Drosophila melanogaster: one gene and its partner. The protein of the gene in region 1 interacts with the protein of each later gene in a pairwise test. Each region holds a gene or a part of one and is shown in the gene's direction. Other genes may lie near its edges.

Region 1 (3,707 bases):
TTAAGAATAGTTTAAATTGATACCGATAAGATTGGGTTGCCTAAGAAGAGCGTACTATTGCTAGTCAATTAAATTATTGTAAATAATTTCGTTTAATAAAAAAAAACATTGTGTGTATATTTTATCTCTAGTTTCCGTTAAGTCAATATGAACATTCCCGTGGAGTTTGACATATACAATGTATACGATTCTTACTTATACAATCACTATTAAACACTTAAGTTACAATATCATAATATAATCAAAAATCCGAAAGCACAGCAATTTGATTGATATTTCTCCAAAAATCACTACAAGATCTTATAACCGTGTAACCTCAGGGAAGTCTGTGTTATTTTTTGTTACGTGTATGACTATTTAAAAAAGGTTAAAAAAAAGATGAAGAATTTGATTTTTACATCTAGGCTTATAATGCCAATTTCAGTTATATTCATAAAAAGACCAATATAAAAACAAAAATTCGACTCGGCTAGTGATAATGATGATGAATATACATACTTTTTAGGTTCGAAAACGCTTCATAATACCCTTAATACCCATAATACCGACATGCGTTCTAACAATTCAAGTGTACCCTTATCCTCTACAAATAATAGATATAAAAAAGTTCCTCGTCGTTTTCATCATACTGCGATCTTATCTGGGATGCATCAGGTTGGCAACATTTAATTACTTGTGGCTGCCTATGAACTTAACTTAAAATAATAACTAGTTATAACCCAGTTTTCGGAAATATGAAATTAATGCAAGGAGATATCGGCTTGTCCAGGTAAGATTTTTGTAATGTTTACATTTATTTTAGATGCTTTAAAGATTTTTGTATTTAAATTAATTTCGTACTATACTATAACAACACAATTGTAATTTAATGAAGGCCAAAGTGTCTTTGATTACTTTTAATCTTCTAATTGTACCTTCTTATACCATATAATACCGGGAGCCTTCTCTTAAATCGAACTGTCAGATTTGTAAAACATGCACTTGGTTTATATTGCAAGGTTTAATTTATTTTCGAATTCGATAACATTTTCCTTAAATTTAAAACAACTGGTAAGAAATTATCCAAACTCAACCTAGCTGTCTCCAATCTTTCATGTTCCTAGTCGGCGGGTTCACTTAGTTCTTGCTGGGGTTAGCCTCGATGTAGGCGATAGCCTTCAGGATGGCAGCTGGGATCGGAGGAGGAGTGGGCAGCAGGTCACTCTGGGGCTGGTATCCGTTCTCGTCAGCCTTGTAGCTCACTCGCACATGGACACCCTCGGGGGAGATCCACTCGAAGACTCCGTCGATGTTGCCGTGGATGTCTCCGGTGGCGGAGGAGGCAGATCCGTCGTCGAGGACCAACTTGCTGACAAAGCCATCGGGCTGGACATCGTTGACCAGCTCCTTGACCTCCACATTAGCGTTGGCGGCCACCAGGGCGGCGAGAGAACAGACAAGCAGCTAGGATAATCCAGGATTAGACTGCGAAGTCACTATGCTCCTCAAGGCATACTTACGATCTTGAACATTTTGATTTGGGTGGATTGTCGGACTAGAAATCTTCTAAGACTGATGACAATCTATGCTCAAATCGGTGTTTATATATCATCAAAAGCTGATGCAATGTGCGTATTATAATTAAGTCAATGTGATGCATATAATAAAAACCGTCTGGGATGCAAATTAGTCGACTTGAGATGGCTTAACCACTTTCATTAGGAGATGAGCATTCTTAGTTATTTATTCAACTGAAATATTCGCCCTAGTCTAACCGAAATGCAAAGCAAACCGGACCAGAAACCAGAATAATTATTAAGCAGTACAATATTTAATTTTCTAAAATTCAACTTCAATATGAACTAAACTTAAGCATAGCATAGTTTTCGGTGTTTCATTTGGTGTGTGGCACGTTGACAACTCTGGCCAAAAGCTTTGCGGGTTTTTTTAAATTAAACAGTGACATCCAAAATATTGAGATACAACAAAATGTCATAGGCAACTAGCACGTTAATATGCAGTATCACTTGCGAAATCGTTTATTCCGGTATATTGTTTATTACCACTTCGGAACCTTTTAAAATAGATGGGACTGCTATCAAGTGAAGTGTATTGGGTTTTTTGATTTTGTACAGGCATGATTGATAAAGACTTGGTCAACTCGAAACGTCATCGATGAGCACAGAATCCGAAAACCGTACTCCATCGCCCCTACAAAATTTCTACCGAAGCATGTTTCATTTCGGAATCTGTTCAGCAGCGCAAGACTTGTTTTTTGACATTTGTATCGCAGAGTCAAGTGGAGAATTTATGGGCCCTGCCTTTTGTTGGCATCATGGGCGTTTCGTGATAACTTAGATTTGGCCCAAAAAGTAATAAGCAATTCGTTTGGAAAGCAACCAAATTGGGAATCATATAAAAAGACTCTGTCGACCAAAGTCAGTTATCAGTCAACGTTCGTTCTCGACCAGACAGAAATCAGCCAACATGTTCAAGTTTGTGAGTGGCTCACAGGACATTTATGAACTCGCCATCTAATTGGTATCATTTCCTCTATCCAGGTGATGATTCTCGCCGTTGTGGGAGTGGCTACCGCCCTAGCCCCAGTTTCCCGCTCCGATGATGTACACGCTGATGTCCTTTCCCGATCGGACGACGTTCGTGCCGACGGATTCGACTCCAGCCTGCACACCTCAAACGGAATCGAGCAGGCCGCCAGCGGTGATGCCCATGGCAACATCCACGGCAACTTCGGCTGGATCTCACCCGAGGGCGAGCACGTTGAGGTAAAGTACGTCGCGAATGAAAACGGATACCAGCCCTCGGGAGCCTGGATCCCCACTCCTCCTCCAATCCCAGAGGCCATCGCCCGCGCCGTTGCCTGGCTGGAGTCTCACCCCCCAGCACCCGAGCACCCCCGTCATCACTAGGACTCGTCACCCGGATCCCGGACCACTCCACGGACTGTTCTCCCGAAACAAATCGCCCAAGTTGTTTAGCTGTACTTCTTGACTTTCAAAAAAATACATGCACTTGCTTATAGCAGTAAAAATGTGTGTGTTCTTCATTGCACTTTTTAGGTAGTTCCTGTAATAATACGAGCTTTTATACCTCTACCTTCGCTGGGAATGCTTCCTTCTACCTTTTATATTCGATTCACTAAATCCATTTATCAAAAATGAGTATATGTGTCCATAAAGAAAAGATGTGCTGAATTAAAAATTAATTTTGTCTTTTAAAATTTGAGAAGGATCTGGGCAGTCTAAAAGATCTGAAAAACAAAAAAGCAAATGTTTGCATACAATTTTATTCTCACTAAAAGTCTCAATGCATTTTTTTTTTATTTTAAGTAGTATTTAAAAGCCAATTAGAGAAGCCAATACCAATGGACAAACTTATTGAAATAGAAAAGCAATGGTCAATGCCACACGAGCCGATTACCCTAGTATATACTCGTAGTACTAATCCCGTGGATTGCCATGCGATGCTTTTTAATGGGTGTGGGGTATCTTCATAGTCAACCCAGATTTCAGAGCACCAATCGTATGAAAGATGTAGCGTATTGACTTGGGTTCAGTTTTGGTGGTTATCAGTCAACGTTCGTTCTCGAGCAAACAGAAATTGGAATCTAAAATGTTCATGCTCGTGAGTAACGGCAGGATACGAACGTATTCAATGTCTATGCTCTCGTTCACGTGGTGATCTGTGCAGTTTTTGGATTGAGTGGC
Region 2 (7,957 bases), on another chromosome or scaffold:
TGTAGTTAAAGTATTGACTATTCACAAGGCTGATTATCAGTGTCGTGAGAAACGCAAAGTATAGCGACATTCCGCAACGAGTGTTCGAATCAAAATGAAATCGAGTACTTAGAACTTACCCTGCGAACTCAGCACTCTGCTTATCAGTAAAATGCGTCGTTTTAAGAATTCCACAAAGTATTTTGAGATAAATCACTTGTATTATAAAAAATATTCGCAGCATTCGTTATATTATTTCACAACGATCCAAGCAAATGCAGTCTAATTTCTCTCAGCGAACTTTTCTTTCGCCTAAGTGTAACTTTTTCATAATACTCGCAGCTGAATACAAAAAATGAAAAGAAAACATAACAAAAACTAGTTGAATAGCGCATACATATGTGCGAGGAGTCAACAAGCGCACGGTTGGCAGAATGAGGCAGCAGATTCCAATTAAGTTTTAAATTTTTAGCAGACAAGCTTATGAATGATGGCGTTCACTTCGATGGCAGCCCACTTGGCAGATGTCCAAAAGGTTTGCTCTCACTTTCCTCCTGCCAAATGTGCTAATCATTTTCATTTGCTACGAAATAGCCGAACAAATGGTGAGCTCACGAAACAAGCGGCGCCTTGGTCCTTTGCAATGTTACCCCCCCCCTTTACCCTCCTTTCAAGGACTTTTCCGCATGCATTCCCAAGTAGTTGAACATGGGAGTGCCATTATGGGAAGTAATAAACAAGAAATGGAATAACTGAATTGTTCGGATAGAATTGCAGATGCCCTTTGTCCTGTGATTAGCATTTGTTGCACAAGTCGAGTGAGGCACAGCAGAGCACATATATTCAGTGCGCTTTCTAAATAGATCAATTCTGTGACAACATTTTTGAAAACGCTTGTTTTAGAATATCAGTACGTAAATCTTAAAGCTCAAGATACGAATGTACCCAAAGAGATATATAAAACACAAAATATCTGTAAGATACAAAAGCATCAGATTTTAAAAGTATCTCTTAGATACAAAAGTATCCATAAGATTGGTAAAGTTTGAATTCCTAGCAAGTTGGCATCTCCAATATCCAGCCCGCCACGATTCTCCGCACTCAACAGATGGTTAAAAGCTTCAATTTGACAGCCGTCGGTTCAAAAAGCTCAAACCCGATTCATGGGGGCGCCACCCGTTCTATTCCAAAGCATACAAATGCCTCAAGATGAAACAAAAACAGAAAATAAACAACAAATACGCATGTATGACCTTCGCACAAGGTGACTGGGGCAAAAAGAGAGCGCCAGTGAGAGAGAGGCAGTGAGCGAGCGAGAGCACAGGGAGCAGTGCAGGAATACAGCATAGCTAAAGTGCGAGAGAGACAGCAAAATGCACCGGCGAGATAAGAACCGCTGCATCAGCAACGCACAGTGGGCGATATGGTCAAAATATACTGATAAAAGTTATTATCTGTTATTGAAATATACAAAATTTTCATTCTTAAATGATTAATATAAAAATCGAAAATTTAATATTTAGTTGTATAGTTAAAAAACAACCTATATTGTTGTATTATATCCCCTAGATGATAATTCGTAGCAGTTGATACCCAGCGCACCCACTGTGCGCTGGGAGTTGTTTACAAGGGGAGCAGCACGCTGAGAGAAAAGCTCTGGCGCAAAAGCTATCTCCGAAAGTATGCCGAAAGTATAAAGTGAGAATCGCTCCGGATTTTGCTGCGAACGGTCGTCTGTTCAGGTTCAGGTCTGGGTTGTGTCTATAGTCTCCGTCTCCTCTTCGCTGTCGCACACGCAAACGGGTCTACGCCACACACACACGCGCACCCACGCAACGGAATCAGAGAACTATATAGAGCCGCCACAGAGAAGGGACATACATAACTAGGACACCATGTCGAAGCCCCAATCCGACGCCGATCGGCGCAAACAGATCTCGGTGCGCGGGATCGCCGAGGTGGGCAATGTCACCGAAGTGAAGAAGAACTTCAATCGCCACCTGCACTACACCCTGGTCAAGGATCGCAATGTGTCCACCCTGAGGGACTACTACTTCGCCCTGGCCAACACCGTCAAGGACAACATGGTGGGCCGCTGGATTCGCACGCAGCAGCACTACTACGAGAAGGATCCCAAGGTGAGTTCCGCGCCCATCCAGGCCACCCACTTATTGATTTAGTCCGTGGAATTTTCCAAAAAGAAGTGGTCGGACCACCTAACCTAACTTTATCCGGGCTCTGGAGTTCTTAGGCCTGATTATCCCTTCCTGCGGCAACCAAAACTTTTGAAATAATTTCCTTTGAAATATTTTTTCCTAAATTTCTTTGGCTATTACGACATTTTTTTCGGCCTGCTCCATTCTCTTTTATTCGCTGCTGATTTATTCCCCGATGCGCTTTGGCCAACGAATTTACAGTGAACACTCAGCCAAAAAAAAAACTAAAAATTAAATGGGAAACGATAAACGTATTCATAAATAACTGAAGCAGTTTTGCTTTTATCCCAAGTATTTCCACTATGTCTTTTATTATTATAAATGAATATTCCATGCAACATTTCATAATCCTATTTTAATCCTTATTTTCTAAAATTCTAAAAATTTCCGAATGCTCACTGTTTATTTGAAATTTCGGCTTTTACTGCATTTCCCACGCTTTCGTTGTTTTGCTACTACATAATTGTTTCGTTTCATTTAATTATTCGCGAAATTGCCAAAAAGCAAAGACTGCAATGGGATCAATGCCAAAGAAGTAGCGCCAAAAAAAGGTGTGACACTTTCACTGCAACAAATTGCAGAGGTGCTGCAAAAAGCCGGCGAATTTATCAGCCACCCCCTTTTTACGCGCCCACTTGACAATTTTCCCCGCCAGCTGACGAAGCAACAAAAGCTTAAAAATAGCTCTGCATTTAGCAGCTGTCGCCGAGCTACTATAGAAGTAGCTCTATCCAAACATATTGATGAGTTTTTAGTAATAAGTTTTCCTGGGGCCATGGCGATGCAGTTTAAGTAGGGCAAGGGTGCATAATAAGTGCCCCCTTTTAGCCACATCCATCAGATACACAATATATGTATATACATACATATGTACATGTATCCAAACACGTGCCCAAAGCGTGAGCTTTCCATTTGCAAATTTGTCAGCATCGGCTGCTAAACATTTTTGTCCTTGCTGAATGTCAGCTTAAATCACTTTCAATTTCAAGCCCACCAAAATGTATCTATTAATTTTCCATTGACTCGAGCAATTTTGGCGACTAGAAGTTCGAGCTATATACACTTTTGGGTGATAAATATTTTCAATTCAACTAAATTGTGGATACCGTCACGGCGTCGGCACACATTTTTTCAAGGTCAATCAAAGGTTATTAACAACAACCAACTGACAAAAATATCAAGGAAAATTTCCCCCATTTTTCCTCTCTCATTTTTATTTTGGCTACCATTTCGGTTTTTGTTCGTTCTCAAATATATATATATGTACGTATGTATATATAAGTTCTTTCAGGTTGTGGAACTTTTATAGGCCCGATTTTGTTTAGTTGTCCCCCCACATGCAATTAGCTCACGCAACCATCTAAATAGAAATATATGAACTGACGACGATTGTATCTTATGGATACTTAAACAGCTGTTGTTGTGCGTGGATTGGTACTTAGAGTTAATTGAAGACAACTTGGCGTCCATCGGTCTCTAAACCAATTTATGCAAATTGAAGAAAGTTCAGCGGGGTGAATAGTCACACAAAAGAGTTTATTTCCCTGTAGTTTTCCACAAGCAGTTCGAAAATACTGTTCCACTTATCACCAAATTAAAAGCGTTTAGCTATCACCGATCATGTAAAAATTCAATGCCAGGGCGCCACTACCTATTGCATTTCCAACTTCCTATGCACATCTGTCATTTATTTATTGCATATAGGGAAAAAAAACCAATAAACAAAGGCAAACAAACACTGGTCGTTTGTTGGTGAGGCGCTCTTTATCAAAACCGCAAAAAACATATGTCTGGCATCTAATTCGTCTGTAGAACTGGCCAGAACGAATATCAAAGACCCTACACAACAAACTGCTGTGGAAAACATTAGCGCCGGCAGTTGAATGACTCCAAAAGCTTTTTATGGATCTGGAAGATTACTCACGTTTTGTTGTGAAGCTCTTATCTTCGATTAGATAAGCTAAATAGGTTATTAGCTTCTTTTTTTTTCTGCAGCAAAGAAGATCATGCTTAGAATTGGTTTTAATATTTGGATTTTTTCCAACTCAGTATTTACTGAGTGCACCTCATATTTCATAACTAAGAAAATACCTACTTTTATAGTTCATATTTTGGTATACCTATATAGATATAAACAATAATGTGTTTTATCACAGCATTTCCATTGCCCAGCACATATTGCCCGAATCAGTTCATACTCCATGTTCACCTAATTCTGTATATCTTATCTGCTAAATGGACTGCAAAATATTCCTAATCGAAAGTCCCCGATTCTATATAGGCGCCTTAACCCCTTTCACCTACAAATATGCACACAAAAACAAGCTCTCCAAACATTCCGAACTAATTAGCTATAGTTTTTTTCCCGGATCGCATAGCATCAGACATCTGAAAGCATCATGTGCGATAGGTATGCGTTTTAGGGCATAGATTACATAGGTAGGTTGACTGATAAGGGATAGGATTAGCATACCCTGGGAGCCATTAGCTACTGACTGGCGACACTGTGGGCGATGTTGTCGTCAATGCTGATTGGTGATTGCTGATCCGTGATCGATCCATGATTAGCCCAGCATTGGCTGGTGATAATAATCGCCATTCCAAGCTGTATAGATTCATGCTTAGCCATGATGTTTGCCCAGCATGCAAAGTGCAGCCTGCAATCGCTTGATAGCGTTGCTATAAACCCAATTAATGCCCTCGTAACATCGATCGATAGATTCGCACTGAATCGAACCGGTGATAGTGAATGCCTTCCTCTATTTATAGTTTCCAGTTGGGTTGCCCTGAAATTACCGTGCGATTTTTCGCTGATAAGCGAGTATTCCGTTGGGAACCGTAAAAGTTGGAAACTGGTTGACCTTCTGGCCAAACATAACTAGGTCTTTCAGCCGCAGTCGGCGCCCCTCTTATCAGGCTTTCGTTGTATTATAGTTATTGTATGCACTGTACAGCTGAACCTGGTGTGAGTGACCCATGCACTGCGGAAATGCACGAAATCTGAATCCAACTCATGAAATAATCTTATGACATTTCGATCTTCCAATATAGTTGCTAATTAATCATGGATACAATAGATCTAATAACGACCCCTGTATTTTTTTAGCGCGTCTACTATCTGTCGCTGGAGTACTACATGGGTCGCTCACTGACCAACACCATGATCAACCTGGGAATCCAGAGCGAGTGCGAGGAGGCCATGTACCAGTTGGGTCTGGATATCGAGAACCTGGAGGAGATGGAGGAGGACGCCGGTCTGGGCAATGGTGGTCTGGGTCGTTTGGCCGCCTGTTTCCTCGACTCGATGGCCACTCTGGGTCTGGCCGCCTATGGCTATGGCATCCGTTATGAGTACGGTATCTTCGCCCAGAAGATCAAGAACGGCGAGCAGGTGGAGGAGCCCGATGATTGGCTGCGTTATGGCAATCCCTGGGAGAAGGCTCGTCCGGAGTTCATGCTGCCGGTCAACTTCTACGGCCGTGTGATCGACACGCCCGAGGGCAAGAAGTGGGTGGACACCCAAAGGGTGTTTGCCATGCCCTACGACAACCCCATTCCCGGATACAACAACAACCACGTAAACACGCTGCGTCTGTGGTCCGCCAAGTCGCCCATCGACTTCAACCTCAAGTTCTGTAAGTATCTATAAGGAGAGGTCCCCTTGATAAGGCAAGAACTAACCTATGGCTATCTTCACCTATCCAGTCAACGATGGTGACTACATCCAGGCCGTGCTGGACCGCAATCTGGCTGAGAACATCTCACGTGTCCTGTACCCCAACGACAACTTCTTCGAGGGCAAGGAGCTGCGTCTGAAGCAGGAATACTTCATGTGCGCCGCCACGCTGCAGGATATCATCCGCCGCTACAAGGCCTCGAAGTTCGGATCCCGGGAGGCGGTCCGCAACACCTTCGATCACTTCCCCGACAAGGTGGCCATTCAGCTGAACGATACCCATCCATCGCTGGCCATCCCTGAGCTGATGCGCATCCTGGTCGATGAGGAGCATCTGACCTGGGAGAAGGCATGGGACATCACCGTCAGGAGTTGCGCGTACACCAACCACACCGTGCTCCCAGAGGCCCTGGAGCGCTGGCCCGTCTCCCTGCTGGAGTCGATCCTGCCCCGCCATCTGCAAATCATCTATCACATCAACTTCCTGCACATGGAGAATGTGAAGAAGAAGTTCCCCGACGATTTGGACCGCATGCGCCGCATGTCGATGGTGGAGGAGGATGGCGAGAAGCGCATCAACATGGCTCATCTGTCCATCGTCGGCTCCCACGCCGTCAACGGTGTGGCCGCCATCCACTCGCAGATCCTAAAGGACTCGCTGTTCCATGACTTCTACGAAATGGAGCCCCAGAAGTTCCAGAACAAGACGAACGGTATTACCCCGCGTCGTTGGTTGCTGCTCTGCAATCCCGGACTCTCCGACCTGATCGCCGAGAAGATCGGCGACGAGTGGCCAGTGCATCTGGACCAACTGGTTGCTCTGAAGAAGTGGGCAAAGGACCCCAACTTCCAGCGCAATGTAGCCCGCGTCAAGCAGGAGAACAAGCTGAAGCTGGCCGCCATTCTGGAGAAGGACTACGGCGTTAAGATCAACCCCTCTTCCATGTTCGACATTCAGGTGAAACGTATTCACGAGTACAAGCGCCAGCTGCTGAACTGCCTGCACATCATCACCCTGTACAACAGGATCAAGAAGGATCCCACAGCCAACTTCACCCCGAGGACAATCATGATCGGAGGCAAGGCTGCTCCGGGCTACTATGTGGCCAAGCAGATCATCAAGCTCATCTGCGCCGTGGGCAACGTTGTGAACAACGATCCCATTGTGGGCGATAAGCTCAAGGTTATCTTCCTGGAGAACTACCGTGTCACCCTGGCCGAGAAGATTATGCCCGCCGCCGATCTGTCCGAGCAGATCTCGACCGCCGGCACAGAGGCCTCTGGTACCGGCAACATGAAGTTCCAGCTTAACGGCGCCCTCACCATCGGCACCCTGGACGGTGCCAACGTTGAGATGGCCGAGGAGATGGGTCTGGACAACATCTTTATCTTCGGCATGACCGTCGACGAGGTGGAGGCGCTCAAGAAGAAGGGCTACAATGCCTACGACTACTACAACGCCAACCCCGAGGTCAAGCAGGTGATTGACCAAATCCAGGGCGGATTCTTCAGCCCCGGCAATCCCAACGAGTTCAAGAACATTGCCGACATTCTGCTTAAGTACGACCACTACTACTTGCTGGCCGACTACGATGCGTACATCAAGGCCCAGGATCTGGTCTCCAAGACCTACCAGGTGAGATTCGATAGCTTAACTATGTATTAGAAAAATAAGTAGCAAAGATCATTATTTAAACCACGATACTTTTGCCTAATTTGCAGAACCAAGCCAAGTGGCTGGAGATGTCCATCAACAACATTGCGTCCAGCGGCAAATTCTCGTCGGATCGCACCATCGCCGAGTACGCCCGCGAGATTTGGGGAGTGGAGCCCACCTGGGAGAAGCTGCCAGCGCCGGAGGATCAGCCACAGAACTAAATCAATTTTTGATATTATTTTATTATTTATGTGCTTTACTTTTGCTAAAGTCAAAGTTCAAGTTTAGGCGCCAAAAGCAACAACTAAAACAAATGAAGTGAACACGGGCCACAGCACCGAATTGTTAATATTTTATTTAATAAAAATCAAGATAAACAATTCGCCTAGTTCTCTCATCACTGTGGAATCGAATCGAATCGAATCAACA

What was found.
Region 2: the proteins of Lcp2 (region 1) and Glyp interact in a two-hybrid assay, tested with the Drosophila melanogaster proteins (one large-scale study listed by BioGRID).

Annotation. Positions count from the first base shown.
Region 1 is NT_033778.4:8,433,293-8,436,999, reverse strand, and holds Lcp2 (larval cuticle protein 2), read left to right. Parts: upstream 1-2,214; 5' UTR 2,215-2,466; coding exon 2,467-2,478; intron 2,479-2,540; coding exon 2,541-2,909; 3' UTR 2,910-3,203; downstream 3,204-3,707. Other genes in the region: Lcp3 (larval cuticle protein 3), read right to left, coding at 1,117-1,443, 1,500-1,511. UniProt on the Drosophila melanogaster protein: Component of the larval cuticle.
Region 2 is NT_033779.5:2,129,138-2,137,094, forward strand, and holds the start of Glyp (glycogen phosphorylase), read left to right. Parts: upstream 1-1,675; 5' UTR 1,676-1,874; coding exon 1,875-2,117; intron 2,118-5,301; coding exon 5,302-5,830; intron 5,831-5,900; coding exon 5,901-7,507; intron 7,508-7,593; coding exon 7,594-7,749; 3' UTR 7,750-7,957. Other genes in the region: CG4259 (uncharacterized protein), read right to left, coding at 1-70.